Linked DNA regions of Diceros bicornis minor. The protein of the gene in region 1 purifies or fractionates together with the protein of each later gene. This does not show direct contact. Links are inferred from orthologs where the notes say so. Each region holds a gene or a part of one and is shown in the gene's direction. Other genes may lie near its edges. The genes, in order: CDKN1B, CCNE2, XPO1 and CCND3.

Region 1 (7,379 bases):
TGGTCTCATGGCCTGTGCTTCTGCCCTCCTGACTCACCCCTGTGCTCTGCCCAACAACTAGCTCCCTTTGGATTAACACCATAATGGGACTGTCTACCCAGCTTTTCATTTAGCTGTGCCCCTAGACACTGTCTCTCAGGGCCCAGGCTTGCTCTTGTTCAGGAGGCAAGTTATGGACAGTGATCATGTTCTTCCTTTCACCAAAAGCTCCATCAGTTCCCATTGTTTACTGAATAAAACAGATGTTTTTTTTTAGCATGCCATCTATGGCCTGCCCTGTCTGATCCCATCTCCCAGTTACTACCCCTACCAACACATCTTTACAATCTTCTTGACATTTTTCTCATTCTTCAAGATCTGACTCATATATCATTTCCTTGAAGGCTTTCTCTTTCTCCCTGCTTTGTACTCCATCATTGTACCATGTTCTTCCATGGATTACTTTCTACTTCTGTGGTTTTTTTGTGCATGTGGTTGTCTCTCCATCTAGGGTCTATATTCCCTAAAGGCAGGGACTGTGACTTAGTCGTCCTTTCACTCCCCACTGAGAATGCCTTGGGGAATGCTTTACACATGGTAAGATCACATCAAGCCACTGGGCAACACCTCCTAGTGTCACTCAGTCAGTGATAAAACCCGTACAGTGGCCTACATTGTCTTGTATGATCTGATGTTCCTGCTACCACTCTCCCCTTGCTCCTTGCTGTTCCTTGAGTACATCAGACAAGATCTCACTTCAGAGCTTTTGAATTTGCTGTTCCCTTTATTGAGATACTCTTTCCCCAGATATCCACATGGCTCACTTTCTCAAGTCCTCAGGGCTGCTCTCCAAGGTCGCTTTCTCAGTGAGGCGCTCCCTGACCTCTCTGTTCACATTGGGACCTGGAAACAGTCTCTTTCCCTCTCTCCTGTTTGTTGTTTCTCCACAGCATGTATCACCTCCTTACATAGTGTATCTTTTACTCATGTATTACTGTGTTTATTTTCTGTCTCCCCTCCCCCCACGAGAATGTAAGCTTCTTCCCAGTTTTAAATCTGTTTACTTCTGAATCCCCAGAGCCTGGGATATTGAAGACACTCAATAAATATTTGTTGAAAGAAACAAAGAATAAGCAAGTTAATAGAGGGTACTCAATAAATATTTATTAAACTGAGTGAAAGCTGTCAAAAACAGATGACTGTGAAATTTCCAAACTCTAAAAATATGTCGGTTTAGGAGAATAGTGAAATTGAGAGAAGCTGCCTCGTTATAAACATCCTCAAGGAAGGATTAAAATTGTGTGCTTGTGGTGGGAGGGGCAACTGGGCAAGGAAGTGTGTACCTGTGCAGAAACATTAGGGGCTGTATAACTCCCTCCCCGCACCCCCCACCCGCCGACTGCATCTGAGGGGCGGGCTTGCCCAGCCACTCCATTCGGACACTTGTCTACCACACAGGTGTTTTCTTTTAAATTATTTTGGTCTTTGCCTATCTCCCCAGCTTGTGAAGAACACAGAAATCTTGGGTGTCTTATGTGACACTTCTCAGCTCTCAGCAGGAAACTACCAGGAGTGAAAACGACAACGAAAACATCACCCAGGACTAGATTCTGAGTCTTGGGGAAGCAGAGCCCATTTTAGAGCAGGGCAAGTGGAACGTTCTGTCTTCTACCGAAGCTCCGCCTTCACACTGTTTATCTGCAATTTTTCTCCCTGGCTTACTCTTTTGCAGCCGCCTACTTTCCGCAGGAGGATGGCGCTCTGATCTCCGCGTTCCCTCTTCCCTCGGGGACTCCATAGTATTTTTTTCACGCTTCGTTGCTACTACAGCAGACGCCTGCCTTCTCATTATTTGCTGTACAGATCTCCGGTGTCTTGACTGTAAACAAAACACTTTAGATCATAGCAAGGTCGATGTAAGCACAGCCTTTCAGCCGGCAGCCAGACGTCTTAAGGTGGCGTGCTCCACTTTTCAAGATTTAACAAAGCAACAAAATGGTGCTCCTACACACCAGTTGAAGAAAGAGTCAGGGTGTGTAGGGGATAGAAGTACTAATTTTCTACTTTTATGTAAGATATTAATTCCATGAATAAAATCAAACTTTTGTGACAAGGTGTAATACTCTAGAATATCTCCATTTACATGGTAGTTTGTGTATTTATGACTGTGAATTTATGCTTATGTATAACATAGAATTCCTGTGTAGTCTAGGACTTATGTAAAAATTTCAACAATGATCAAATTTCAGGAATAGGGTATAAATTATGGTATTGAGGCCTACACTAATTTTCCTGTTCCTCTCCCCCTCTTCTCCAATCCAGTAAATTAAGTGGGGCATTAAATGTAGAAAAATTAAGATGAGACATCTTACTCTGATCGCAGGTGAAATATTTTCTATTGGTCAGGTAGGAAGTCCTGACTTTGAAACATGTTTTGGGCACTGCCTCCCTCACTGCTCTCTGGCTATCACCTCATCCTGGAATCTGCATTTTAGTTTAACTAGTGTATAGTGATACCAAAGGCTGGAGACAGCTGCCTTTAAACATCAGTGACCACAGGCCATATCAAGGAGACATGTGCAGGCAGCCCAGGGCAGGAGAAGGAGCCATTTTGAATCATTTATAAGAGAGGAGGACTTGCAGAGGACAGCACAGGCGAATCCAGACAAAAACCTGAACCCATTGGGGCCATCAGGAAGGAAAGGAACAGAAAATGAACCAGCCTGAGAGTTAGGAGACCTGTGTCTAGTCCTGGCGGTGCTACCAACTGGATATGTGTCCCTGGCTAGGAAGCCTCTCTGAGTCTCAATTTCCTCAGTGGCAAAAAGAGAGGGTTGAACCACAGGGTTCCCAGGGCCCCTCCCAGCTCTTACCTTCTGGAGAGTATGAGGTGAGGCAGGCACAGAGAGTGGACAAACATGTGGTGAAGAAAACAAGTTAAAAATCAAACTCATGTGTAGCACAGATGCACAAGAAAACATTGTTGCTGTGTACTATTAGAACTGCAGGAGATTACTTTCCAGTAAAATGTATTAACCTGGGCCCAAACCAAGATTGTATGTATTGGGGATGGGGTGGGGAGGCAGTTAAAGACCCTTTGAGCTCTGTCTCAGATATCATAGCCCTGACCATCCCGTTTTAACTTCCACCACCGTGCTCAAGATCATATGGACAGGTAAATTTCAAGTTGCAAAGGGGAGCAGAGAAATGCCCACATAATAATATCAGAAGTGAGGACATGGTGTGGTGATTTTATAAATCACTTCATAATCTGGAGTTGCAGATTGTTTTCACCCTTCAACGACTTGGAGGCCTCGAAAAGCACTCACTTGCATCTGAATGTTGTTCTGGGTGGGTTAAAGCAGCGAGTCTGGGGGGAGAGAAAGGTAGAGGAAGGAAGGAGCTGTTGTATTTGGCGGCAGGACTCAGGTAGAGGAAACTGCTACAACTCGGGAAAGAATTGAAACATACAAAGAGGAGACGAGTTCCCACACGCAGCCCATGTCAACGGCCTTCACTGTGCTCGGGAAGCAAGAAGCCGGGCCAGGGGTGTAACCTCGTTTTGAAAACTCAATGTGTCTGAGACGGCTACGGGACTTGGGAGACCAGGTTTTGATTTTGAACTCCCTTCTTATTTTTATTGAGGGAGAGCTTGGGTTTAGAATACATTATAAATGCTGCGCCTACTCCAGGCTAATTTATAGAAAGCCGTTCGCCTAGGCTTCTTCCCTAAGCCCCCTGCCTCCCCTAGAACAGCTGCGACTTCTAGGTTAAGGGGGAGCTCACCACTGCTCATCCCCAGCCAAGTCACCCAGGCAGGGGGCTCCCAGCCCCTCAGGGAATGTTCCCTGCCTCCCCCCCAGTGCCAGAGGTTGGGGCCACGGCTGAGAGCCCAGCTGGGGGCAGAGCTCCCAGCGTCTGCCCGCACTCCCAGCTCGGCGAGCGCGGGGAAAAGCTTCGGAATCATCTGGTCCAGCCCCTTCATTTCCCGGGCGAGGAGCGGGAGGTCGGGGCTTCCGAGCGGCCGCGCGCCAGGCAGCGCAGCGCCGGGACTAGAACCCAAGGCCCCACCGGCCCCGCCGCCCAGGCCCCTCCCCAGCTTCCCGGCCGTTTGGCTAGTTTGTTTGTCTCATTTTTAATTTCGCCGAGGCCAGCCAGAGCAGGTTTGTTGGCAGCGGTACACCTCCAGCAATCACGCGACCAGCCAATCTCCGGCCGGCGCTCTCGGAGTCGGCGCGCGGGGAGGCGGGGAGGCGGCCGAACCGCGCCGGGGCCACCTTAAGGCCGCGCTCGCCAGCCTCGTCGGGGCGCGGCTCCCGGCGCCGCAACCAATGGATCTCCTCCTCTGTTTAAATAGACTTGCGGTGTCAATCATTTTCTTCTTCGTCAGCCTCCCTTCAACCGCCATATTGGGCAACTAAAAAAAGGGGGCTCGTCTTTTCGGGGTGTTTTTCTCCCCCTCCCTGCTCCCCACGTTCTCGCCGCTCCACGACTCGGACGCCGGCAAGGTTTGGACAGGCGCTCGGGGCGCGGGACCCGCGGGCTTGCAGCGGCCCGGACCCGGACTGGCTCTGCCGCCCCCTCCGCGCCGCTGCGCTCCCCGCCCTCCCGCTCGCCCGTCCGCTTGAGCGGCGGCCGCTCGCGGCTGCCTGGCCGGGGCTCCCCCTCGCCCCCTCCCCCAGCCCGGCGCGCTCCTGACGCTCGGGCGCTCTCTCGGGGGTGTTTGTTGCTCTCCGCTCCGAGGGCAGTCGCGGGGCTCGTAAGAGGGGTCCGGGCCGGGTCGGGGCGTCTTGTTTTGTTCGGTTGTGTTTCCCGAGAGCGGCGGGCGTCAAGACCCGGGAGGAAGATGTCAAACGTGCGAGTGTCTAACGGGAGCCCGAGCCTGGAGCGGATGGACGCCCGACAGGCGGAGTACCCCAAGCCGTCCGCCTGCAGAAACCTCTTCGGCCCGGTGAATCACGAGGAGTTGACCCGGGACTTGGAGAAGCACTGCCGAGACATGGAAGAGGCCAGCCAGCGCAAGTGGAATTTTGATTTCCAGAATCACAAGCCCCTGGAGGGCAAATACGAGTGGCAGGAGGTGGAAAAGGGTAGCTTGCCCGAGTTCTACTACAGACCCCCGCGGCCACCCAAAGGCGCCTGCAAGGTGCCGGCGCAGGAGAGCCAGGATGTCAGCGCGAACCGCCAGGCGGTGCCTTTAATCGGGTCTCAGGCAAACTCAGAGGACACGCATTTGGTAGACCCAAAGACTGACGCGTCCGACAGCCCGACGGGCTTAGCGGAGCCGTGCACTGGGATCAGGAAGCGGCCTGCCGCCGACGGTAAAGACCCTGCAAACGCCTAAATGTCTGTCTGTCCGGGGCACCGCTCTGCCTGCTCGAGGGTCTTCACCTCGGCTTTCTTTTCAGCGTATTCTGATGTAGCTTTTGGGGAGCGAACTTTCCTAATCTTAGGTTTTCAATGCTGTCTAGCTGACTGCTGGTCTGTTTACGATTAAGTCAGAAGCCTGAGATTGCCTTATCTGATCATTTCTCTAACTGAAACCATCGCAGTCCCCCCTGGCTAGCCAGGGGTAGGTATGTGACAACGATGGGATGTTTATCAACGGCCTCCCCTTCGCTATGGAGAGCAAAAAGCTTTGGGGCGTAGAAGACACTTTCTGTTATGTGAAAACAACCTCGTTTTGTGCCCTGCAAGGCCCCTGGGAACGACGGATCCAGGATTGTGGGTGGAGGTGGTGGGTTTTTCATGCCCTGACTATTGTGCCAACTTCTGTCAGCCATTGTTTTTTTTCTAATAAAGATTGTGTGTGTTCTTTTTAAAATTCCTTCTTGCCCTTAGATTCCTCTCCTCAAAACAAAAGAGCCAACAGAACAGAAGAAAATGTTTCAGACGGTTCCCCGAACGCGGGCTCAGTGGAGCAGACGCCCAAGAAGCCGGGCCTCAGAAGACGTCAAACGTAAACTGCTCGGTGGGTTGATTACTAGGAGCAAATAACTAACACCCGAATTGGACTGCAGGAAGTCGTAGGCTTTCAAACCCCAAGATACCTGATCTTAGTGGTTGCTGGCAGATTAGAGCTTGCGGGTTTCTGTTTTGTTTATATTTTTTGAGGTCAAAAAAGCAGGAATGGAGAAGGCTGAGACTCACTGTGGGGTTACTGTAATTCTTCACAGTTTCTACGTCCTGAGGTCATTTTCCCTTGACACACACAATTACTAGAGCAAGTGTCCCAGACAAGTACTTATAACCAAGGCCCGGTGGGTAGGAAGGTCAATTCCCTGAGTCCACTAAAAATGTTGGGAACAAGAGGTTCTTTCCCCATTTGAACAAGAACTGGGGTATGCCTCAGTCCCACTTCATGAGAATTCATTTCCCAGAGTTCAAGTTGAGTCAGTAACAGATTTTGAGCCATACATGGAAAAATGGCAAATAAATTTAAATTTTGAGGGAAAAGTTAGGTCCAGACGGCTCATATTTGGTTAATCAAACCGTTAGAAATGTGAATAGAGAGGTATATCGCATTCTTTTATCATTTTCATAAACTGTTACTTTCCCTGTTTTCTGACAAGTTTTGGGGACAGAGAAGGAAGCTGTGTATTTAAAAAAAGCAAAATGGAAAGCTCAAAAATACTCAAGTTCCTACAGAATTTCTGATTACACTGAAGTTGCAAAGCAGAAGTTAAATTAACTCTGCCAGAGTAAGCAATCCAGGAACACGTCAGCATGTGTATGCTAATCGCACTGTAACAGGATGATTTGGATATTTGTAGGGGAAATGGATAGTAGTTATCAGGGCTGGCAGGGTAGGTCTACCCCGCACAAGGGAAGTGGAGATTTTTCCATCTACTAAAATTTGATCAACATGAGTAGCTAATTTGAATAATTTAGCCCCCAATTTTACTTGGATTGGCTATCCCTAATGATCAAACTACATATATTAATAGCTTGTAAACTTCTTATAAACAAGGACTGTGACCTCTTTTTTCCCCCAAAATACACTCATAGCCTAGCATATAAAGAGATTTTAATAGATGTTGATAATAACTTAAGTCCTCATTTATAAAAATTTAAAAATAAAGAACGTAGGGATTTGTTGGTTTTGTTTTTAACTTTGTTGTTTTGTGTTTTTAAGTCGTAATGTCATATATATGACTTTTTCACATACATCTGATATTTTTCAGAACTTATACAAAATGGCACTATAGAACCTCTATATTACAGCTGTAGATGAAGTGGGAAGGTTGGATGAAAAATTTTCCTGAAGCAACCTGAATACTTGCAGCTCTTGTTTTGTTATGACTTGTGGCTGTTCATCAGATGAGCCACAGTGAATCAGACCTACTGGATTTTGATCTGGCCCCATTTTGACATACAGAGAAGCATTTGTTAGTCAATAT
Region 2 (6,945 bases), on another chromosome or scaffold:
CCTCTGTGATCTTCTTCCCCAAACCCATAACCTCATCTAACCATCAAGAAGACATCAGACAAATTCCAACTGAGAGACATCCTACAAATCACTTAACCAGCACTTTTCAACACTGTCAAGCACAGCAAAAACAAGGAAAGTCTGAGAAACGGTCACAGCCAAGAGGAACCTTAAGGAGACATGACATCTAAATGTGATGTTTGGATCCTGCAGCAGTAAAGACATTAGGGTAAAACTAAGGAAACCTGAATACAGTACGCACTTTAGTTAATGCATCAACATGGATTCATATGGTAACAAATGTACCACACTAATGTGTCAATAAATAAGGGTGAGGTGGTGGCGGAGGGTGGAGGAGTATATGAAAGCTCTGTTCTACCTGCTCAATTTATCTGTAAATCGAAAACTTTTCTAAAAAGAGTCTATTACTACAAAAAAGCCCTCATATTAATCGGGAATAATTCTCCCACCCATCACTCTAACCTAGAGAATTAAAGTTCTCTGATAGGATATCCTATGCATAATTAAATTCAGTATTTACCAAGGTCCTACTATGTATGCCTCTGAACTACTCGGTACTGGCGACAAAAAGATGAACAAAACAATGTCCAAAGCCTAGTTGGAGATAAAAGACATTTTAATAGGTAATTATCGTCCTGTGAGGTAGCATAACTAGAGAACAGAGAAAAGAGTCCAGGAAGGCTTCACAGAGGAGGTTTGGCAAAGAAAAGGCACAGAAACAAAAAATAGGTGGGTTGGGCCTGATTTTTTTAAACCTGTGCCTCTAAGACTCTTCCTGGGTTTTTTTTCTTCCTTTTTTTCTGAAAATGAAAGCACTGTAGAGGCCAATAGTTTTATTTACCACGATGTTTCAACTTTGCATGTACAATGGGGAAAATATACTTTAGAAAATGCCAAAATTTCTAAAATTATTACAAATATAAAGGAATTTCATACATTTCAAAGGAAGCGAATTTTAAAACGGATGAGTGGGAAAAGAGGGAGCTAAAAATGAACATATAAAAATAGAAACAAAAGATAACATATTGAAAGATGATGCCTAAAGTAGGTACCCAAAGGATGACTACATAAACAAAATTCTGGGAAACTGTAATTTTATAATTCAGCTTCCTGTTTTGTTCAGGATCCTTAAAACCACTTAATTTCTATGCGTATAAGCTAGTAAGGCGGGTAGGCAGGAGAGCGGAGAGCTAGCACTGAGCATCGCTCTGTGCCAGGCGCACATGCGAGAGAGGGTCTCTACACACATGATCAAATTTAATCTTTAAAACCACCCGTAAGGGTCTGGCCCAGTGGCGCAAGTGGTTAAGTGCACGTGCTCCGCTGCTGCGGCCCAGGGTTCGCGGGTTCAGATCCCCGGCGCGCCCCTACGCACCGCTTGGCTTGTCAGGCCATGCTATGGCGGCGTCCCATATAAAGTGGAGGAAGATGGGCATGGATGTTAGCCCAGGGCCAGTCTTCCTCAGCAAAAAAAAAAAAAAAAAAAGAGGAGGCTTGGCAGATGTTAGCTCAGGGCTGATCTCCCCACAGACACACACAAAAAAACCAACCCTTAAAATGAGTGTTTTGCTGGCCGACCGGGTGACTTATCGGTTAAGTGCGCCCTCTCGGCTACTGGCAGCCGGGGGTTCGGATCCCAGGCGTGCACCGACGCACCGCTTCTCCAGCCATGCTGAGGCGGTGTCCCACCTACAGCAACTAGAAGGAAGTGCAACTACGACATACAACTATCTACTGGGGCTTTGGGGGAAAAAAAAAAGGAGGAGGATTGGCAATAGATGTTAGCTCAGAGCCGGTCTTCCTCAGCAAAAAGAGGAGGATTAGCATGGATGTTAGCTCAGGGCTGATCTTCCTCACAAAAAATAAAAAAAAAGAATAATAATAAAAATAAAATTAGTGTCTTGCATCTTTTCTGGAGGCATTGGGGCACTTGCAACGGAGCAGGACTGGAACCTCGGTCCATCTGAGAGGTAAACCCAGGTTCTTTTTAGTTCCACTTGACCACTGACCAGGTACTTGGAATATGGCAGAATTCACCCTGTTCGTGTCCACACAAAGAGGACTCGGGATTGTTTCTAATTTCTCCTTTACGATGATTGCACTCGGTTCACTTTATACTCAAGGGCATTGACTAAAGTTCATTCCTATAATTACAGTGTCTTGTTTACAAGTAATTTACTCGTTAGCCCAGTGCTGGGCATATAATACTCCAAGATTAATCCTACAAATGTTAATAGACATCCCTGGTTTTCAGTATATTTTGATTATCAGATGCACTCATTTAGGCCACCAGTTTTGCTTACGCTCAGGTAACACGCACTTGCTGCAAGACCTCCCTTTTCTAACCTTTGCATCCTAACAACGTTTTGAGGTGACTGCAAAAGGGAGGCAACGCTTCCCCTAAGGAGAGAGCCATCAGAAGCATTATAAATGGTGTGAAATTTCTTGGGACTGACAAAATTCTGGGACTCTTCTGAATCTATATCACCTTGGGCAAGACTTTTACTATCTCCTCAGGCATAAATTTGGGAGAAAAACAATTACTTTGCCGGTGTCACCACACTGTTGTAAGAATCGAAAGAGAAACTGCGAACAAGGACTCTGCCGGCCCGGGCGGCCCGAGGAGCGCTCGTTATTTCGGGGCTCTGAGGCCCGCACGGGCGCAGCGGCACAAAAGGCGCGGGGCGGGGACCCGGCTCTGTCCCGGCGCCGCCGCCGCCTGGTGCATCTCGGGAAGGGCTCCCGCCGGGCCGCGACGCGGGGCCAGCCCGGCGGCTCACTCGGGGCCAGGGCAGAGGGACGCACACGGCCGGCCCGCGCCCGGAGGAGTGCCGCGGGTTCCAGGAAGCCTTTGCACGGCTCCTCCACCCCGGGGGCCTTTGTTCCTGGAGGCGTCCCCCGCCCCACTGCTCTCGCTGCAAAACCTGTTCGCGGAGTATCATCGGCCTGTCCTACTTGGAGATGTCCAGTCTGGGGCGCGCTCAGGGGGCGTTAGAGGCAGCGAGGGTGCCCCTAAGTTTAGATATGGGGGAAAAGAGAAGGAAATGCATCGGACCCACCTCCTGCCATTATAGGTCGGAGGCGGGCGGCTCCCTCCCGCGCGGGCAGCTCTCGCGGGCTCCGCAGGGCGCGCTGGCGGCGGCGGGGCGGGGCGGGGCGCGGCGGGCGGGCGGGCCCGGAGCCGCACGTGGTGGGACGGTACTCCCCGCTGGACCCGGCCCCTGAAGAGCCGGTGCTCTCGCGGGGAAGGGGAAAGCCGCCCTCGGCCTTGCTCTGGAGAGGCGTCTTACCCTTGGGGCCCCGGAATTACAGGTTGGGAGGACAGGAAGGGAGGGTGCAGCAGAGCGTGAGCGTTTCCTGCGCGGGGACTACAGAGTGGGAAGCCGCCGGGCAGCGGCAGGGCGGCGGGGTGCAGAGTGACCCACCCACGGGGAGGATAGCCCGGTCGGCGGGACAGGGAGCGGGGAAGCACGGTTGATACGCACCTCGGCCTGCGGGCTGCAGCACAGTGCAAGTAGGCATCCCGGAGCATGGCTGCCCTGGGGTGCCACAGCGCTCCCGGTGGTCCCACAGGCCCGACGGGTGGCGCGGGGGGACACACGTGGCCGGACGCGCGCCGGGCTGTGTTTACATTCTGCAGCCGCTCCACGTTGTGCTGCCGTCCTCGCCTCCCATTGGCCAGCTCTCCAGCCGAAGCTGCGCTCCTCCCGCAGGGGCGGGCCCTTTTGGTCCCCGCGCCTCTTAGGAAAGCACCCGGTTCCTTCAGGCCTTGGCGGGACAGCCAGGATGCGCCGCAGGATGGCCACTTCCTGGCCACTCTGTGCTCGCCCAAGCAGGCACAAATTGGCCGTACGCCGGGCATGAGCCGCGGCCTGACGCCCCTGCGATCGGGATTTGAAGGCGGGAGGGGACAGGAAGGTACTGGCGGGAGATGCGGCAGCCAAGCGGCAGGGAGCCGAGCCGCGGAGGAGGAGCCTCTGAGAGACTCCCTCCCGCCGCCGGGCCGCGCAGGCAGGCGAAGTGGAGCGCAGGTGAACGCGGACTCAGGGCCTGGGCGAGCGGGTCCTGCAGCCCCTCGGGGTTGGCCGGAACGAACTGAGGGCAGGGCGCGGGGCGCGGGCCCGCGGGGCGGGGGCGGGCGCGGGCGGGCGCGCGGGGGAGGGGAGCGCGCTGTCCGGAGGTGTCAGGCTGAGGCGCATGCGTGCGGGGCGGGCCTGGCCCGGCCTATATATTGGGTTGGCGCCGGCGCCAGCTGAGAGCCGAGCGGTAGCGGGTCTGGCGGTGAGGAGGTGCGGGGCGCAGGGTGGGATGCGGGAGGAAAGAAAGCCCCCTGAGCCGATCGTGCCGCGGGCGGGAGCCTGGGGGAGGAACAGTGGGAGGGCTGAGAACTAGGCGGCTGGGGCATGGGTCCCCGCGTTCGGTCCCTGTCAGGACTCTTGGCAGGGGGCCGGGAAAGCGGCGGGGGATGGAGGGATGCCCTTGAGTGGGAGGCCACGGAAAAGCCCCTCGTTCTAGGGGCTTCTCTCTCCCAGCCCCATTTGGGGAGCTAACCCTAGGGAGAGAGGATGGGGGTCTGGGTGCCCTTCACGGGGAGAAAAGCTCCCCGACCAGCCCAGTTTTCTCCTTTCTTTAGCTCTCTTTCCTTCACTCCCACACCCCATCTGGAGTCGGGGTCCCGGTGCCCCTTCAAGCGACAGGCAGAGCCCGGTGAGGCTGGGAAGGAGGGAAAGGAGACTGAAGGACGTGACACAAGTCTCAGTTCCCTCCGCCCTCTGCTTCCCCGCCGGCGCCGCTCTCCAAATTGGCGCGGAACCGGCTTCTCCACAGCCTTTCGCCTCCACAACCCCCTCTCCCCGCGGCTCGTCCAGGATGGGAGGGGGGAAGTGGGGGCGCTACCCAAGCCCCACTCGGGGTGTACGGGGGACAGGATGGAGGACACAAAAAGGACCCATTTGGGGGAGATCTGCCTCCCTGAGCGTTCCGGGTGCTGAGGGTGCTTTGTAAATTTTTGAAGACACTTGCTGCACATTGGCTGACCATTCAGTTGAGGAAATGCAGGCATGTGTCGAAAATTAACACCATGAAATAACTAACACAGTGCAGAAGACAGCATGGTAAAATGGCTCAGGCCGTCTCCTGAGGGACTTGGCTGTAACTTCTGAATCAGCGTCTAACTGGCACTTGGAGACATGGATGACAATGTATTTGACCCTGGTTTTTCCTACCTCCCCTCCAGAGGTTGCATACACCTGAAAGAAGAGGATGTCAAGACGCAGGTAACGTTATTTGTCTTGGAGATATGCTTCAAAGTTAGCTGCTGCCTTTGAAACTCATGACTTACTAATTAAACTTCCTTTTAAAAAATTTACTGTAGTAGCCGTTTACAAGCTAAGCCCCAGCCCCAGCCCAGCCGGACGGATTCCCCCCAAGACGCCCAGATAATTCAGGCCAAGAAAAGAAAAACAGCCCAGGTGAGTTAAGAGGAGAGGGAGAGAGAGGAAATTCCTTGCTGGGACCTTAGTTTACCAATGGTCTTTTCTGTTTTCCAGGATGTCAAAAAAAGGAAAGAGGAGAAGGTCACCAAGAAACACCAGTATGAGATTAGGGTAATGCAGAACTGGGCTGGGTGGATTGGAGGGAAACAAATGCAGGACAAATAAGAATAGAATTGGGTTATTGCTTGGCAATAGAAAGATTCCTGACACTTTTACTTTTAATGCCCCTAGAGGTCAGCAGGAAGGCGCTTATCTTGGGGTAGTTTGTATGTGCCTGAATCCTACTACAGCTGCAGAGTAAGTTGCCTTGAAGCAGCTGGTTCCTCTTTGTAAATCCCTCCCTCTTGGAGCTGCCTGGTGCACCAGGGCCCGCCTAATCTGTCCAATGTACTGCTCTTTGTTCCCTCTCTGACTATAGTGAAGGGTCCTAATAGCTGCTCCTTGGGACATAAATAGGATTTGAAGTCACTGACAGACTGGCACCCAGCCCTGTGCTACCTATTCTTTCCTATGTGTTATACAGAAAACACTTTGGTTCTCTTTGAAAGCAGCATTGATTGGGGAAAGGGTCCTTTAAGTATTTAAGTAATTGATTACACTTGATTCCATATTTAAGGTTGTGCCTTCAAGTATTCTCAAGTAAGGGAGCAGGCTTAACTGGGAAAAAAAAGCTTTTTATAAAACAAGGTGCCCTTGCAACTGTTGCTAAAAACAGGGAGAACTTCAATTTTATAATCTTGGAAGTGATTAGTATTTGACTAAAGACGCATTTTATTGTTATTCCTACCCTCCCCCAATACTTCATTGTATTTCCAGAATTTTTTGTTGTCTAAAACATCCTGTTACTCTTTATGAAGACTGATATGAGCTATATGGCTTATTCATAAAATATGAATGTTGAATTAACTAGATTGTCAGCAACGTTAGCTAACAGTGGTGTTTGGTGGAAAACTATAGACTGTTTAGAAATACTAGCTTCCATTTATGAAAGACCCAAGACAAAAGCTGGTTTTGTATTGCATGAATAGATATTCTTTTTATTTTTTTTTTAAATGACAGAATTGTTGGCCACCTGTATTATCTGGGGGGATCAGTCCTTGCATTATCATTGAAACACCCCACAAAGAAATAGGAACAAGTGACTTCTCCAGATTTACAAATTACAGATTTAAAAATCTTTTTATTAATCCTTCACCTTTGCCTGACTTAAGGTAAGAAAGATTTCAGTAATTTAATGTCAAAGATTAAAATTGTACTGATTTAATATATGGTACTCCTTTGAGTTATTTTTGCCTGCATTATAGAATAGAAAAACTTGTAAAAAATTGCTTTACTAATATTTAAGTGTATATTTTATCTCAGAGTACTGCTATTTGCAAATGATATGAGTATTTAAAACATTGGTTCTATAGTTATTTTCATTTGCTTG
Region 3 (6,866 bases), on another chromosome or scaffold:
TTTGAAGAGCTCACCGTCAGTGGAGATTGTCTTCAGAGCCAAAAGGTCAAATTAAAACACAAACGTTGCTTATTTGACTCTAGTGTGACCTTAATAGCAAATATCTGTGACTTTGATAGGCAATAAACAGGTACTGTTCATATATTGTAGTGAGTATGTAAATTGGCACAATGTTTTTAGGGGGCACCTTGGCAGCACCTATCACAATAACAAATATACATGGGCTTTGACATAATAATTCCACTTTTAGAATGGTAACCTAGTGATATATTCACATTTGTGCCCAAAGATAAATGTACAGGGACACTCACCGCAGCATTGTTTTTAAGAGGTAAACTGGAAATAGGCTCATTGTCCTCAGTAGGGGAATGGCTGAATCATTTATGGTACTGAGAAGATGGGGAAAGCTAGGGGCTGTTACCAAGGATGAGGTGGATTTATACATTCTGACCCATTAAGTAAAAATCAAAGTCACTGAACAATATGTATAATATGATGTCATACATGTTGAACAAAACACAAAGCAAATACATTTGTAAATGCATAGAAAATATCTCAAAGCATACACACTACACCCTTAATGATTATTATCTCTAGGCAAAAGAACTGGGGAGACATATGAAGGAGACTATTACTTTTTACTGTAGATACTTCTTTCTCTATTGTTTGAATTGTTAACCATGATCATGTATTACTTTTTAAATTAAAAATAATTTAAAAAATAGAAATAAGTGACAAGTGGTAAAAAGGAATTTATGAGTTTGTTTCTCTTATTTCTGATGAATGTTGTTTCGTGACACCATGTGAACTAGTAGAAAGAACACAAACGTGGGTTCTAATGTTGACTCAACTACTGTGTGGTGGTGTGTACCTGTGTGCATGTGTATGTGTGTGTAACAGAGGGCAGGGTAGAGCAAGAGTGAGATTTGCAAAATAATAATTGTCTTACAGGGTTGCTGTAAGAATTCAGTGAAACACTGTACAAAAAGGTCTCTGTTGCTACACAACAGGAAGGCACTTAATACAGTTTACTTACATTTCCTTATCCATATCTGACTCCAGGTTTGAAATCTGTTTGATTCCAACAAATGAAGGTAATAAAAAAAATATTAGACACATGTCAGACCTATGTTCCGAATGTGATCCTGAAAACACAGTGCTCAAACATAATTATCTGCTCCTGTCACTTCTTTTTGCTCTTGTTAATAACAAGTTTATATTGAATACTTCCATTTTGGCTAACTCTAGGCAAAAAATATTTACATCTGATTCACTATGGTCAAAGAGATATGACCTCCTGGGGACAGGAGTTAAAGCGGCAAGGAAAAGAGCCAAAGAAGGGGATAGCAAACTGAGACTATTCGAACTTGACAATCCACAAAGTGCTTTATGGGTCACACTGCTCCTTCATATCCCTTTGATCCTTACGTGGATGAGACAGGCATGGATGATAACAACCTCATTAAACGGGTGAGAAGGAAACTGAGGCCCAAAGAGGTGAAGTGACTTGCCCAAGGTCACACTCTGAGCAAAGCCATGGCTTACTCCCAGTTTTTATTCCTATTATTCTGCCATCTAAAAATCAGTGGACTGTTCCAAGAGCTAAATATGTAGAGTGGAAAAACTTTTTAAAAAACAGGATAGCCTCAGTGTTTCTGGTAATAGAATGTAAGTACTCTAAATGATCAGTATATATCATACGTATTATGGCTTGATATTATTCAGTTAGGCAATGAATAAAAATCTTAGGTCTGAAAGTCATCCAATATCATTTTGGTGAATCTAGGCATTAAGTTACTGGGTTTTTTCCTTATTGGAAGGTGAGGTAGTTACTCTCGAGCGCTGCTTTGATGTTAGCCATTACCCATTGTGAGTGAAGACTTGCTGAAGTAAATTGTGTTGATTTAAGAAACCATTTATCAACCTCTTGGTGGCACAATGGGCCTAGAAAATTTTGGAGGTCTGCTTACTGTTTCTTAAGCAAAGAACAATCAGTAAAGCTGATTTGGAGGGCACCTGGGGACAAACAAGAGAAAAAAACATGTGAAAGGCCACGTGCCTGTGACTTTCATAGAAAATACTATTTGGTGATGACGAAGTATGTGATAGGGCAGCTCTGCTGAAAAGAAAAACCGTGGGTAGGGGCAGATGAAGGGCACCAGGTGGGAGGTAGTTTACCCACCAAAAACATGCGATGTCAAAAAATTAAAAAAAAAAATGTGATGTTAAACCAATTACAGGGATTTTAGTGTCTTAGTTTTTAGGAAGGTTGGTTTTTGAAGCAGCCAAATTCCGGCTCGGGGAGACGCTGAGTTAAAATTTGAAGGACTATTTAGGTGTCTTTTCCAGGACTCAGAAGATCCCGAGGCGCCAAGAGTGCACGCCCCACACCTCACCCCAACCTCTTTCAGGGTTATTCTCACACTCAACTCCCCGGCCCGAAACCCAACTCTTTAAATTGGATTACAGAGGTCCGGAGCCTACAACTAGCCTCCGATGTGTTCTTTTGGATCCTTTTTTCCTCCCCTCCCCAAAGAAAAAAATAACAGGGTGTGCCGTCCCTTTGCGTACCGCGGCCCCCATCCGAGGGGCGGGTCCTGATCCCGGCGGGCTCAGGCCCCGCAGCTTGGCGGGAGCCGGCGAGGGCGGGCCAGCGCGAGTCGGAGGAAGCCGAGCGAACGCTGCCGCGCGCCGCGCTCAAACTCGCGCCACCACCCGTTCACGAGCTGCGCCCCACCCTCTCCGTCACCCAAGGCGCCCAGCCAATGAGCAGGCCGGAAAGGCCGGGCCTGCGGGCTAAGCACTGGGAGGGGGAGCGGCGGGAGGGGGACGGGAAGTCGAGGGCGGGCTTCGCTTGATTGACAGCTCGCTCAAGCCAATCCTCCGCGAGGCTTCTCTTAGCTCCCTTCTCCGCTCTGCTCAGCTCTTCGTCCCACCTCCTCCTCCACCACCCCCCTCCTCACTCCTTTTTGACCCGCCCCTCTTCCCCTCCCCCACTCTGCGGGCAAATCGCTGCTGGAAAGAGGCGGGGGCCGAAGCGGCGGGCTCGTGTGGAGCCTTGAGATGGGACTGACGGGCGATCTGACCAATAAAAGGTAGGCTGATGGCGCGGCTGTGGCTGGAACCGGCCAATGGGCGGGCGGGCTGGGGGCGGAGGCCCAGGTTCCAAACGCTCCGCGGCGCCATGGGCTGAAAACTCAACCGAGATGGAATCTCCCAGTCTGAACCGGTTTCAACCGGTTCCGAGTTTGAGGCACTAGGAGGAGGGGGAGAAGCGGCTGCAGCGGCCGCGGCAGGAGCAGCGGGAGCTACAGCATCAGCAAGAGCAACAGTAGCTACAGCCCCGGCGGCGGTGCCTGTTCCAGTCTTTGCTGCTGCAGTCCGTGCAACCACCCAGAGGGGGAGGGGGGAACCACCAGTCGCTGAGAAGCAGGAGAAGGGGGGAAAGTTTAGGCGAGCCTGGGTGGGGGGGCCTAGCGCCGGAGCCGCGTGAGAGAGGGAGCCGTATTTTGGTAGGGGGGAGTCGGACTGCAACTGGCAGCAGAGCGTCCCCCGACCGTGTGGACTCTACACCCCCTACTCCTGCCGCTCCTGCTGCCGCCTGTGGCTGGAGGGTCCCCCGGGGGCTGAATCTTTGGGACTTGACCCCGTTCCCCTCCCCCTTCCCTCACTCCCCGGCCAGGCGGGAGCATTTATTCCACAGATTAATTCCCCTTTTGGGGGGGGCGGGTGGGTGTGTGTGTCGGGGGGAGGTTCCCTGAAATAGTAAATATTGTTGAGCTTTTTTTGCCCTTATCCTCTTGGTTTTTTTAATTTCCTTTTTTAAGGTGGGAAAACTGTGAAACCCACCTTGATTTCCTCCCCTCTCCCCCCTCCCCACCTTTCCTCGCCCTAATCCCCCGACGAGGAAGGAAGAAGCAGTTGGTTCAATCTCTGGGTAAGTCGACTGTGTCTTCGGGGCCGAGGGTCGGGCGGCGGCGCGGCCGGGCGGGAGGAGGCCGGCGTGGGGCGCGGCGGCGGCCGCGGGAGGCGAGCCCGGGAGGCGGCGGCGGGCCCACAGCCGAGCCTGCGATTGAATGGAGCCGCTTCTGCCGCTGGGGGATGGAGGCGGGGAGGCGGCCGCGGGAGGGGAGCGCTTGCTGGGTCATTCGTGTGTGCGGGTGGCGGTGGAAGAAGGCGAGGGGCGTGAGAGTGAAGTGGGGCCCCGCGCGGGGGTGGAAGGGCTTCCCCAGCCCCTGGGCTGGGGAGAAGTTGCGGTGATTTCAGGAACATTTCTGTAAATTATTAGGAGTGGAAGTTTCCAGAAATATTTAGTGCAGCAGCATTGAAACGTCCGCCTGCATCACGTGGCCCCTCGGTGGAGCGCTTGGGATCGGGGGAGGGAGGGGCTGCCGCGTCCCTGCTCCTCCTGCAAGGAACTCGGAATCTTCCTGGTTTTTGGCAGAGTAGGATTAGAAGTAGGAAAGGTTAGTTATTTTTCAGGGATCTGCAAATGGGGTTCCGTGCTGTAGTTTGTTTTCGGGGGCTTGAGCGTGTTAAGTGATCGAATTATTTACTGCTGGCATTGTACAGCAGATGATGCCGATTCTCCTTCATTCCGATGTCTCTTGAGTTTGGGGTGGGTGAGAGGAAGTGGTATAGTAGAGGAAGCTTTCAAGATTTGCCCAGCCCGGACCTCCTGTGATCACGCAGAGGCCATGCTGCATAGAGAATGGGGCGGTGAACTTCAGGCGCCTGCTCTAAATGCCTCCTCCGAGTATGGGCGGGGTGAGTGCGTGCTCCTGTATGCTATAGTTAGAAGTGCTGCAGATCGGTTCGGGTGGGAAGCGAGGGGAGGGCGGGCCTTACTGAGGTGTGTTTCTACTGAATGGAGGAGGCAATTGGCCACACACCCAAATAGCAGCCTCTCTCCTTGTAGCGACTTGTTTTTTTGACCTACTGTGTAGTTAACATTTAAGCAACGGTTATGATTTTCTGGTTTGGGGATGGGAGCTGGCAGTGTAGCTGCCTGCCTATTCAGTCTGAAGTGGCAGTGAAGGTATTTTGGTAGTCATTTGTAGAGTCACCACATTGCTGGGTAATCCCTTGTATATGCTATCCAGTGAGTGGATTTTAGGATTGAGTGTCCCAAGGAGAAAAGAAAGCGTTTGTGGTTTCACTTCTCTCGCTATGGCTGTTTGCTATCTGCCTGATTGTATATCTTAAGCGTGTGGGACAGTGCTGTTAGTGGAAAGAATGTTTTGTTTTGGAAGCTCTTTGATTTGGGGGACTAATTGTGCTTGGCATTGACCAGAAAGCCGCCATTTCTGTCCTACGTACAGTTCAAGAATAGGTAGGTCATTTCGAAGATAGCCGCTAGTTCTAAGGATGGCAAACTTATGTATTTAATACAAGCTTCTATTCTAAACCTGATTTTTCACAAGAATTTAGCTCGAAGGACTCTGTAAGGACCATATACTTGAAAATGAAACTTTACAGAGTCACTTTATTTTTTTATTTTGGCCTTTCAATTATGATAGGGCTAAATAGAAAAGTTCGTTCAAATTTTAACCAAAAAAAAATCGAAAACTTTTGATAACGTAGCTCTTGGTGCTTTGTGTACATTGCTTTTCAGCCTCAATTTTTAAGATTGTTCTGATCTTTTAAAATTGTATGGTACTTGAATGGGGGGAAATTTACCCATTTATTTGTGGAATATATATTTCCTTTTTTATATTAGTATTTATCCTTTTTTATATTAGTATTTAGAGCAAAGATTTTTGTTGTATTTGTCACGTATTCTGTATTAAAAACATTTAAAAACTGCTGTAAAATATTTTGAAATCTTATCAGTTTTACTGTCTATGGATCAAGCCTTAAGAGGAATAAAAATCCTTGAACTGTTTCTCGATTTTTACATTATATATAATAAAAAAATTAACTGACATCCTCAAGACTTCTAATCTGTTGTAATTGACATTATCAAGTAAAACATTTGAGTTGAAATTGCTGCCATTATTGTTAAGAACATCTTTAAGCTGCTATAAAATGGCCAAGAAATAACATCTTTTTCCTATCAAGCTACTTTGTCCAGGCACCATGTAATCAAATTAGCCACCCATTTCCTGATCCTGGAAGGTTTTTAAGAGGTGGAGAAGTGGAGATAACCATCTGATCTTGTTGGGTCTCCCAACAGTAAACCAGAGGTTCTTAGCCTGAGGTTTCTTGCGTGGCTTTCAGAGTGTCCTGAATCTTCTGTAATTGTATACAAAATTGTGAGTTTTTTTAATTTGGCAGGAGCTATCATTTTCCTCGGATTGTAAGGCGTCTTGACCCAAAAAAGGTTAAAGAGTACTGATTTAGCCCGTCAGACTTCAGTGGCACTGGCTTGAAGAAAAAGCAGAGGAAAGAGTTTTATAATGCTGGGCAACAAAAATGTGAATGTGTGCCAGCACTTTGGAATAGAGTCCTCTTAAAAGGATAACATTGCATATGAACCAGTAGGTTTTAGCCAGTACATTATTTGAGGTGAAGAAGCTCATTTTTCTGTTATGATAGAATTTGTTTTTGTTTGGGAAATAGTTGGCAAGCTTTTACAGCTTTTTACCTTGCCAGTGAATACCTGGAAATTAAAAAAAAAAAATTGACATATTAGCATAAAGGTTTTTTTCTAGACTATATTCAAGGAATTTGTACACTTGTGATTTTAATCCCCAAGTTCATTGAGGGTTGAAAGAAACAAATATAGATGGTTTAATTGAGTGTAGAAACTTAAGTTCTGTAGAAGTTAAGGGTACTAGATTTGTTAGACAACTTGTTCCTGCTAATCATTGCTATATATATCATAGGAAAACTTGTATACCACGTTTAATTTTTAGCATCTTTCT
Region 4 (7,118 bases), on another chromosome or scaffold:
AAAAAACAACAAAACTTTATTGTATGTACTCTTGAAAATGCAGATTTTGGGGGCCTCATCACATACTCAAAGAATGAAAAGCCCTGAGGCAGGACTCAGAAATCTGCATTTTTGGCAAGCTCTTTGGGTGATAAAAAAAATCATCTGTAAGTATTTCCTACATTTTCTTCTAGTACTTATATAACTTTAGGATGGGGAAGGCATGATTCAAAGGCAAAAATCATTAAAGAAAATATCAGTAAATAAGGCTACATAAAAATAAAAACCTTTTATTATTTTTTTTAAATTTGTAACCACTTTTATTTTATTTTTTTATATTTATTTATTTATGTATGTATGTATTTATTGAGGAAGACCAGCCCTGAGCTAACATCTGTTGCCAATCCTCCTCTTTTTGCTGAGGAATATTGGCCCTGGGCTAACATCCGTGCCCATCTTCCTCTACTTTATGTGGGACGCCACCACAGCATGGCTTGACAAACGGTGCATTGGTGCGCACCCAGGATCCGAACCTGTGAACCCTGGGCCGCTGCAGTGGAGCGCGCACACTTAACCGCTACGCCACCGGGCCGGCCCCATAAACCTTTTATTTGTTAAAAAAAAAGAACTTCACCATGAACCAAAAATGAGACGGAAACAGTGAACTAAAATTTGTGACAAAGAAAAAAGTATGAAAAAGGGTTAATGTCCTTAAAATATAAAGAGCACTTATAAATCAATAAGAAAACAAACATCCCTATAAAAGAATGGACAGAAATATGAATAGGTAATTAATTTACCTAAGAAATGTAAATAATATGTCAAAATATTATTACCAATAAATCACTTTTCATCTCTCGTTTTCTTTCTCCATAAAGAAAAGTGGTATATAGGCCGGCCCCATGGCTTGGCGGTTAAGTGCGTGCACTCCGCTGCTGGTGGCCCGGGTTCAATCCTGGGCGCGCACCGATGCACCGCTTCTCCGGCCATGCTGGGGCCGCGTCCCACATATAGCAACTAGAAGGATGTGCAGTTGTGACCTACAACTATCTGCTGGGGCTTTGGGGGGAAATAAATAAATAAAATTAAAAAGAAAAAAAAAGAAAAGTGGTATATATATATACAATGGAATATTATTCAGCCACAAAAAGAAGGAAATCCTGCGATTTGCAGCAACATGAATGGACTTTGAGGGCATTATACTAAGTGAAATAAGACAGAGAAATACAAATACTGTTTGATTTCACTTATATGTGGAATTTAAAACTCCTTACTCATAGAAATAGAGAACAGATTGGAGGCTGTCTGAAATGGAGAAAGGTGCTCAAAAGGTACAAATTCCCAGTTATAAGATGAATAAGTTCTAGGGATATAATGTACAGCACGGTGACTATAGTTAACGATACTGTATTGTATATTTGAGTGTTGCTAGGAGAATATATCTTAAAAGTTCTCATTCAAGAAAAAAAATTATAACTATGTGAAGTAATGGATGTTAAACTTATTGTAATAATTTTGCAATGTATACATATATTAAATCATTATGTTGTATACTCTAAACTAATACAATTGATATATGTCAATTATATCTCAGTAAAGCTGGGAAAAAATTTTAAAACAATGGTGATTAACTCTCTCATCAAAGATACACAGTCTGGGCCAGCCCGGTGGCTTAGCGGTTGAGTGCGCGCGATCCGCTGCTGGCGGCCCAGTTTCGGATCCCAGGCGCGCACCAACGCACCGCTTCTCCGGCCATGCTGAGGCCACGTCCCACATACAGCAACTAGAAGGAGGTGCAACTGTGACATACAACTATCTACTGGGGCTTTGGGGGAATAAAGGAGGAGGATTGGCAATAGATGTTAGCTCAGAGCCGGTCTTCCTCAGTAAAAAGAGGAAGATTAGCATGGATGTTAGCTCAGGGCTGATCTTCCTCTCTCACACACACAAAAAATACACAATCTTCTAACCTGAACAGTCCTATTCGATAATTCTGAAAGTAAAGAAACACCTTCCTTCAAGACAGATCTGGTTTCTGGTGATGTACTTACTTCAAAAGCTAGATTTTTTTAGTCTTCCTGCACCTTAAAAACCTCTTACACTTCATTTTTGCCTCCCCATAATTTCATACCTAATCTTTATAATTTTAAATCTATTGTTCTTTTTAATGAAAGAGTGCAATGCAATGAATAATTAGCTAAAGAAACTTCATACTTATATTTCTGAAGACAGGAGTAAAGGACTTACAAGATTAGACAAAGCACGTGACACATTCATGTTGGCACAACAAGGGCTCTTGAATTAAAAAATATAAACCACTTTTCATCTCTCCAGTTGGCAGAGTTGTGGTTTTTTTAAAATAGATATATAATGTTTGTTCATTAGATTGGTTCAGCCTTTCAGCAGGGAAATTTGGTAATAAGAATTGTATCAAAAGCCTTAGAATGTTTCATAACCTTAGATTGAGAAATTCCACTTCTAGAAATTAATTCACTTCTAGAAATAATCATGAGTCTGCACAAAGATATTACCACAAAAATATTTTACATATTGTTTCTAATAGAGAAGAATTTCCACCAATACAGATTTGGTAAAATGCATTATACATTCACCGAATGGCATACTGTGTAGCCATTAAAAATAATGTTGTAGCATATTTAACGACATGGAAAAGTGTTAACAGTATATTTTTTATTGACAAAAATAGCTTACAAAACAGTTTGCGATCTCATTTTGAAAAATATGTGTTTACTTATAGAGCAATTTTAGAAAAATAAACATTGACGTTTTAAAGAGTTATCTCTGGATGGTGAAATTGCAAGTAATTATTATTTTCCCTTGTTTTGTGTGGCTTATCTGTATTTTCTAAGTTTTTGCAATGCGAATGAATATTTCCATGATTTGGAAACTACAATAAGATTTATTCTATAAAAAAGAACAATTCATTGAGAAAATGCTTAACATAGAACTTGCCTTTTCTGTCCAGTGTCATTTCTCTAGTAACTCACTTCCTTAGTGTCTCCTCCCTTGGGAGGACCCCAGGAGAGGCAGAGATCCCCAAGGCCTCCTTCCATTGGAGCATAACTGGAGGCCTGTGGTCTGCCTCTTGGTCCTGTGGAATCCAGCTTTGGGGAAAGTTTGGGAGGTAGAAGAAATGGCAACTGGAAGATTTTGTAGAGTCTGATCAAGAAACTCCTTCAGAGAGGATCTAGTTTCTCCGCCCACTCTTTCCTCAAACAGAAACTAAGGCGGATTTCAGGGCTTGTCCAAGGCCACAGAGCCAACTTAATGACAAGGTGAGGCCTTGAATCCATGGCCTTTCCGCCCTGTTGTGTTTCTGTAATGTGCTGATTTCGACCAGCCCTTCTCACGCTTTAATATGCGCAGGAATCACGGGGATCTTGTTAAAATGCAGATTTTGATCCAGCAGGTCAGGGGTGGACCTGAGGGTCTGCATTTCTAACCAGCTCTCAGGCGGTGCAGATCTTGCTGGTCTGGGGATCCCAGTTGAAGGAGCAATGGCGTAGAGCACAGATTCTGGAGGCAGACTGTCGGCTGCCCAGTCCCAGCTCTGCCGCAGACTGACTGCATGATTGTTATAGTTACTGTGCTTCAGTTTCCTCGTCTGCAAAATAAGTGTAATACCTAACTCATGGAGTTTTCGTGAGGATTTAATAAGTTATTACACTTTAAGTGCTTAGAACAGTGTTCACTAAGAACTAGTTATTTTATTATTTATAGTCCCTGGAGCAAGCAGTGGGTGAAGTAGGGTCTGACGAATGAATGAATAACCATTGCAGAAAAGTTCTTTCCTGGGCAACTAGAGACAGAGAAGCAAAATGGGAGGGCTCTTTGCTGGGGAAGAGGCCCACCTCCAAGATAGTTCTCTCCACTGGGTGGTCAGAAGGGCCCGGAGCGCCCGGAAGCCGGCCGGCCCGCGCCGCGCCGACCAATGCGGCCGCGGGGAGGGAGGGGGAGCGCCCGCCAGCCCTTTCCGTCTGGGCGCCGGCAGCCCCGCCCCTTGGAACGTTGCGACGCTCGAGCATTCCACGGTCGCTACCTCGTCGCGAGGGGCGGGGCGCCTGTCAGGGAAGCGGCGCGCGCGCCGGCGCGGGCGGGCTGGGGCTCGGCCGCGCAGTGCCAGCGCCAGCACCAGACCCGCGCCCCGCGCTCTCCGGCCTGCCGCCTGCGTTCTGGCTCGCGAGCCCGCACTCTCGCCCTGCCTGTGCGCTGCCCGAGGATGGAGCTGCTGTGCTGCGAGGGCTCCCGGCACGCGCCCCGGGCCGGGCCGGACCCGCGACTGCTGGGGGACCAGCGTGTCCTGCAGAGCTTGCTCCGGCTGGAGGAGCGCTATGTGCCCCGCGCCTCCTACTTCCAATGCGTGCAGAGAGAGATCAAGCCGCACATGCGGAAGATGCTGGCGTACTGGATGCTGGAGGTACCGCCGGGACGGGTCTCCCCTCCCCCTCCGCCCCTGCGTCCCCGGCTCCGGACATCCCGGTGCCGCCCTATAGGGACATCCTGGTCCCAACAACAATCAACAAGATGCTTCGGTGGTCCAGACCCCCGGTTTGGCCTTCCACTCGGGCACCCTAGCCGGCTGCCTCCGTGGTGACCCGTTCCCTTCCCCAGCCCTGACTCTGACTGCCAATCATTTGGCACCCTAACCAATCCCCTCTTCGGGCCAGGAAAGCGGGACAAGAGCCACCCTCTCCCCTCCGGCTTCTCTCAGCGTCTCCTACTTCCCTCCCCCGCCCGATCTTCTCTGGAGTGCGCGCCTGGAAAACCCTGGGCTCGGCCGCCCCCGCCCCAGAGCCGGTTCCTGTGTCTGTCGCGGGGTTCTGGCGGGGAAGGCGGTGGGGGTGGCGCGCGCGCTGTTCCGGCCGTCAGGGAAATGAAAAGTGCGGGAGGCAGCGGCAGGAGTCTCCTCCCTTCCCTTTGGGTGTGTGCAGTGGGTGGTGGTAATGGGGGTAAGGTCCCAGCTCTCTGGCTAACATGGGTGACTCTTCCGTTTCTCCCCCTCCCCCCCGCTATGGGGGAGGGGAGTCTCAGTTTGGAATCCTTATTAAGGAAAGGAGCCTCTGGCGTCCCCCACCCCCCAGGGGAGGGGGAAGGAGGCAACGCGGAGGAAGTGGGGGGCGTCACCTTGGGGAGGACGCATCCTCCTCCGTATTAGTCCTTGACATTATAAGTACACTTATCCCCCTCCCATTTTTGCTCTCCACTCCATCTCCCGTCAGCACACCCCCCCCCCCTTTAGTACTGCTGCGTTTCCCACGGCCCTGCCCAGAAGTGACTGTGCCCACCCCCCCCAGGTATGTGAGGAGCAGCGCTGTGAGGAAGAAGTCTTCCCCCTGGCCATGAACTACCTGGATCGCTACCTGTCCTGCGTCCCCACCCGCAAGGCGCAGTTGCAGCTCCTGGGTGCGGTCTGCATGCTGCTGGCCTCCAAGCTGCGCGAGACTACGCCCCTGACCATCGAAAAACTGTGCATCTACACCGACCACTCTGTCTCTCCCCGCCAGCTGCGGGTGCGTGCATGACTCCCCCCACCCCCAACACGTACTGCCTCCTCACTTACCAGGAAAAGGAAAGCTAAGGCCTCAGAGGCTTTCTGCCCCCTGGGGAGGGAGCATGGCTACCAGAGGGCAGAGGCTATGTTTTTGGACAAAAGATGGGGCTGTGTGGTGTGATGGTTAGGGTAGCCCCAGCCCCAGTGGCTTGAGCTGCTGGCAGGAACTAAATCTCCTTCTCCTGACCTCCAGGGGGTGCCATTCCTTCCTGGTCTTTCCCCCAGATCCCAACAAGTCCAACTGCATGTCTACACTCCTAGTACTTTGCCTCTGGGTTTACACAGCCACCATGAGTTATTTATTGGCAGTAGCAGGACATGCCTGTACACCCCCACTGGAGTGGGGGAGTGGAATGTGCCTCATGTGGGGGAGGGGGGCTGCTTTGGTTGAGTCTTGATCCCAGTGTGGACTTTGTGATTGAAAAGCCTCCCAGAGCAGATTAAAGCCAGGCCCTGATTGCTCTAAGGAAGGGCCAAGGAGTTTCATCCTACCTTCTTTCCTTCCCCTTATATCCCAGAAGAGACGGCTCCTTCCTAATCCTCCATTCCCTGTCCTCATTCTGAGGAACTTGAGCAGCTGCTTTGGGCCTGGTAGAACCATCTCTCCCTTTCCCCCTTAGCCAAAGGCCAGAGCTGAGGGACAGACAGGGAGCTGAACTGCAGCTGCTTCCGATGTGATAATGATGCCCCCTCCCCTGGCCCGCCCACTCTGACCAAGGTCTTTCATAACCCTGTGGGGAGCTGCTGTCACTCCTGTGGTTTGGGAAGTGGCTCCCTGGGCCTCTTGCTGGGAACTTGGGCTGGGCTCTTCCCAGGGCAGGAGGGCAGGAGGGCAGGAGGGCCCCGGGTTCTCTTTCCCCACTGACCCTGGAGAGGAGGTGGCAGAGCTGCCTGGATCTGGAAGAGGTTATTCGGGGCATGCAGATCATCTCCTGGGGAGGCCTGGGGGAGAGGGTGGGTGAGCTGGCACCTTCCCCCACCCTGCTCTCTGTCCGCCAAGTCTTCTGCTGACCCTGAGAGGAGTCTCTGGGCCCCATCTCCAGGGGAGGAGGGCAGCATGCAGGCTGCTGTGATTGGCTGGCCAGGAAGCCAGGGTACTGGGGCCCCCGACTGCTGCTTGTCGAGGAACAGGATTCCTCTTCCTGCCAAGTAGCTCTCCGAGATGGGAGTAGGAGGCCAGAGTTGGGAATCTGGGAGGCCCCACAGCTCTTTGTGATGAATCTGGTAGTTTTTGGCAAGTCTGAAGGTGGAGCTGGTTTCCAGGGCTGGCGACCAAGATGTTTCCAGAGGGGTTTGGGCTGGAAGGTAGAAGGGGACTTCCTTTTTGTGAAAAGACTGGGATGGTATGTGTGTCTTTGTGTGACGGGAGTTTTTCAGAACAGGCAAAATGTACTCTTACTCTTCCCCCACTCCCTCTGCCTGAGCTGGGGGTGGAGCGTGCAGATGGCTTCCTAGAAGGTCAGAGTTGGACGGGATCTCAGAGAACTCCAGTCAGTCCAAATCCTTGTGCAGCAGAGAAGGTTGAGGCCCAGAGGAGGAGGGAAGGGTCCTGCCTCAGCCTTGCACT

The links.
Region 2: the proteins of CDKN1B (region 1) and CCNE2 purify together in Homo sapiens (co-immunoprecipitation; 5 studies listed by BioGRID and IntAct, with this or other methods). This does not show direct contact. The link is inferred for Diceros bicornis minor from reciprocal best matches to the Homo sapiens genes CDKN1B and CCNE2.
Region 3: the proteins of CDKN1B (region 1) and XPO1 purify together in Homo sapiens (affinity purification with western blotting; 4 studies listed by BioGRID). This does not show direct contact. The link is inferred for Diceros bicornis minor from reciprocal best matches to the Homo sapiens genes CDKN1B and XPO1.
Region 4: the proteins of CDKN1B (region 1) and CCND3 purify together in Homo sapiens (affinity purification with western blotting; 9 studies listed by BioGRID and IntAct, counting the BioPlex papers as one, with this or other methods). This does not show direct contact. The link is inferred for Diceros bicornis minor from reciprocal best matches to the Homo sapiens genes CDKN1B and CCND3.

What each region holds. Positions count from the first base shown.
Region 1 is NC_080756.1:48,208,222-48,215,600, reverse strand, and holds the start of CDKN1B (cyclin-dependent kinase inhibitor 1B), read left to right. Parts: upstream 1-4,358; 5' UTR 4,359-4,825; coding exon 4,826-5,300; intron 5,301-5,820; coding exon 5,821-5,942; 3' UTR 5,943-5,950; intron 5,951-7,379. UniProt on the Homo sapiens protein: Important regulator of cell cycle progression. Inhibits the kinase activity of CDK2 bound to cyclin A, but has little inhibitory activity on CDK2 bound to SPDYA. Involved in G1 arrest. Potent inhibitor of cyclin E- and cyclin A-CDK2 complexes.
Region 2 is NC_080760.1:14,116,591-14,123,535, reverse strand, and holds the start of CCNE2 (G1/S-specific cyclin-E2), read left to right. Parts: upstream 1-4,063; intron 4,064-4,117; coding exon of another isoform or gene 4,118-4,220; intron 4,221-4,518; exon of another isoform or gene 4,519-5,257; 5' UTR 5,258-5,283; coding exon 5,284-5,297; intron 5,298-5,395; coding exon 5,396-5,492; intron 5,493-5,570; coding exon 5,571-5,627; intron 5,628-6,575; coding exon 6,576-6,727; intron 6,728-6,945. Other genes in the region: uncharacterized protein LOC131419404, read right to left, coding at 3,507-4,063, 4,118-4,220. UniProt on the Homo sapiens protein: Essential for the control of the cell cycle at the late G1 and early S phase.
Region 3 is NC_080751.1:25,718,242-25,725,107, forward strand, and holds the start of XPO1 (exportin-1), read left to right. Parts: upstream 1-3,848; 5' UTR 3,849-3,937; intron 3,938-6,866. UniProt on the Homo sapiens protein: Mediates the nuclear export of cellular proteins (cargos) bearing a leucine-rich nuclear export signal (NES) and of RNAs.
Region 4 is NC_080753.1:23,496,682-23,503,799, forward strand, and holds the start of CCND3 (G1/S-specific cyclin-D3), read left to right. Parts: upstream 1-4,101; 5' UTR 4,102-4,219; coding exon 4,220-4,417; intron 4,418-5,294; coding exon 5,295-5,510; intron 5,511-7,118. UniProt on the Homo sapiens protein: Regulatory component of the cyclin D3-CDK4 (DC) complex that phosphorylates and inhibits members of the retinoblastoma (RB) protein family including RB1 and regulates the cell-cycle during G(1)/S transition.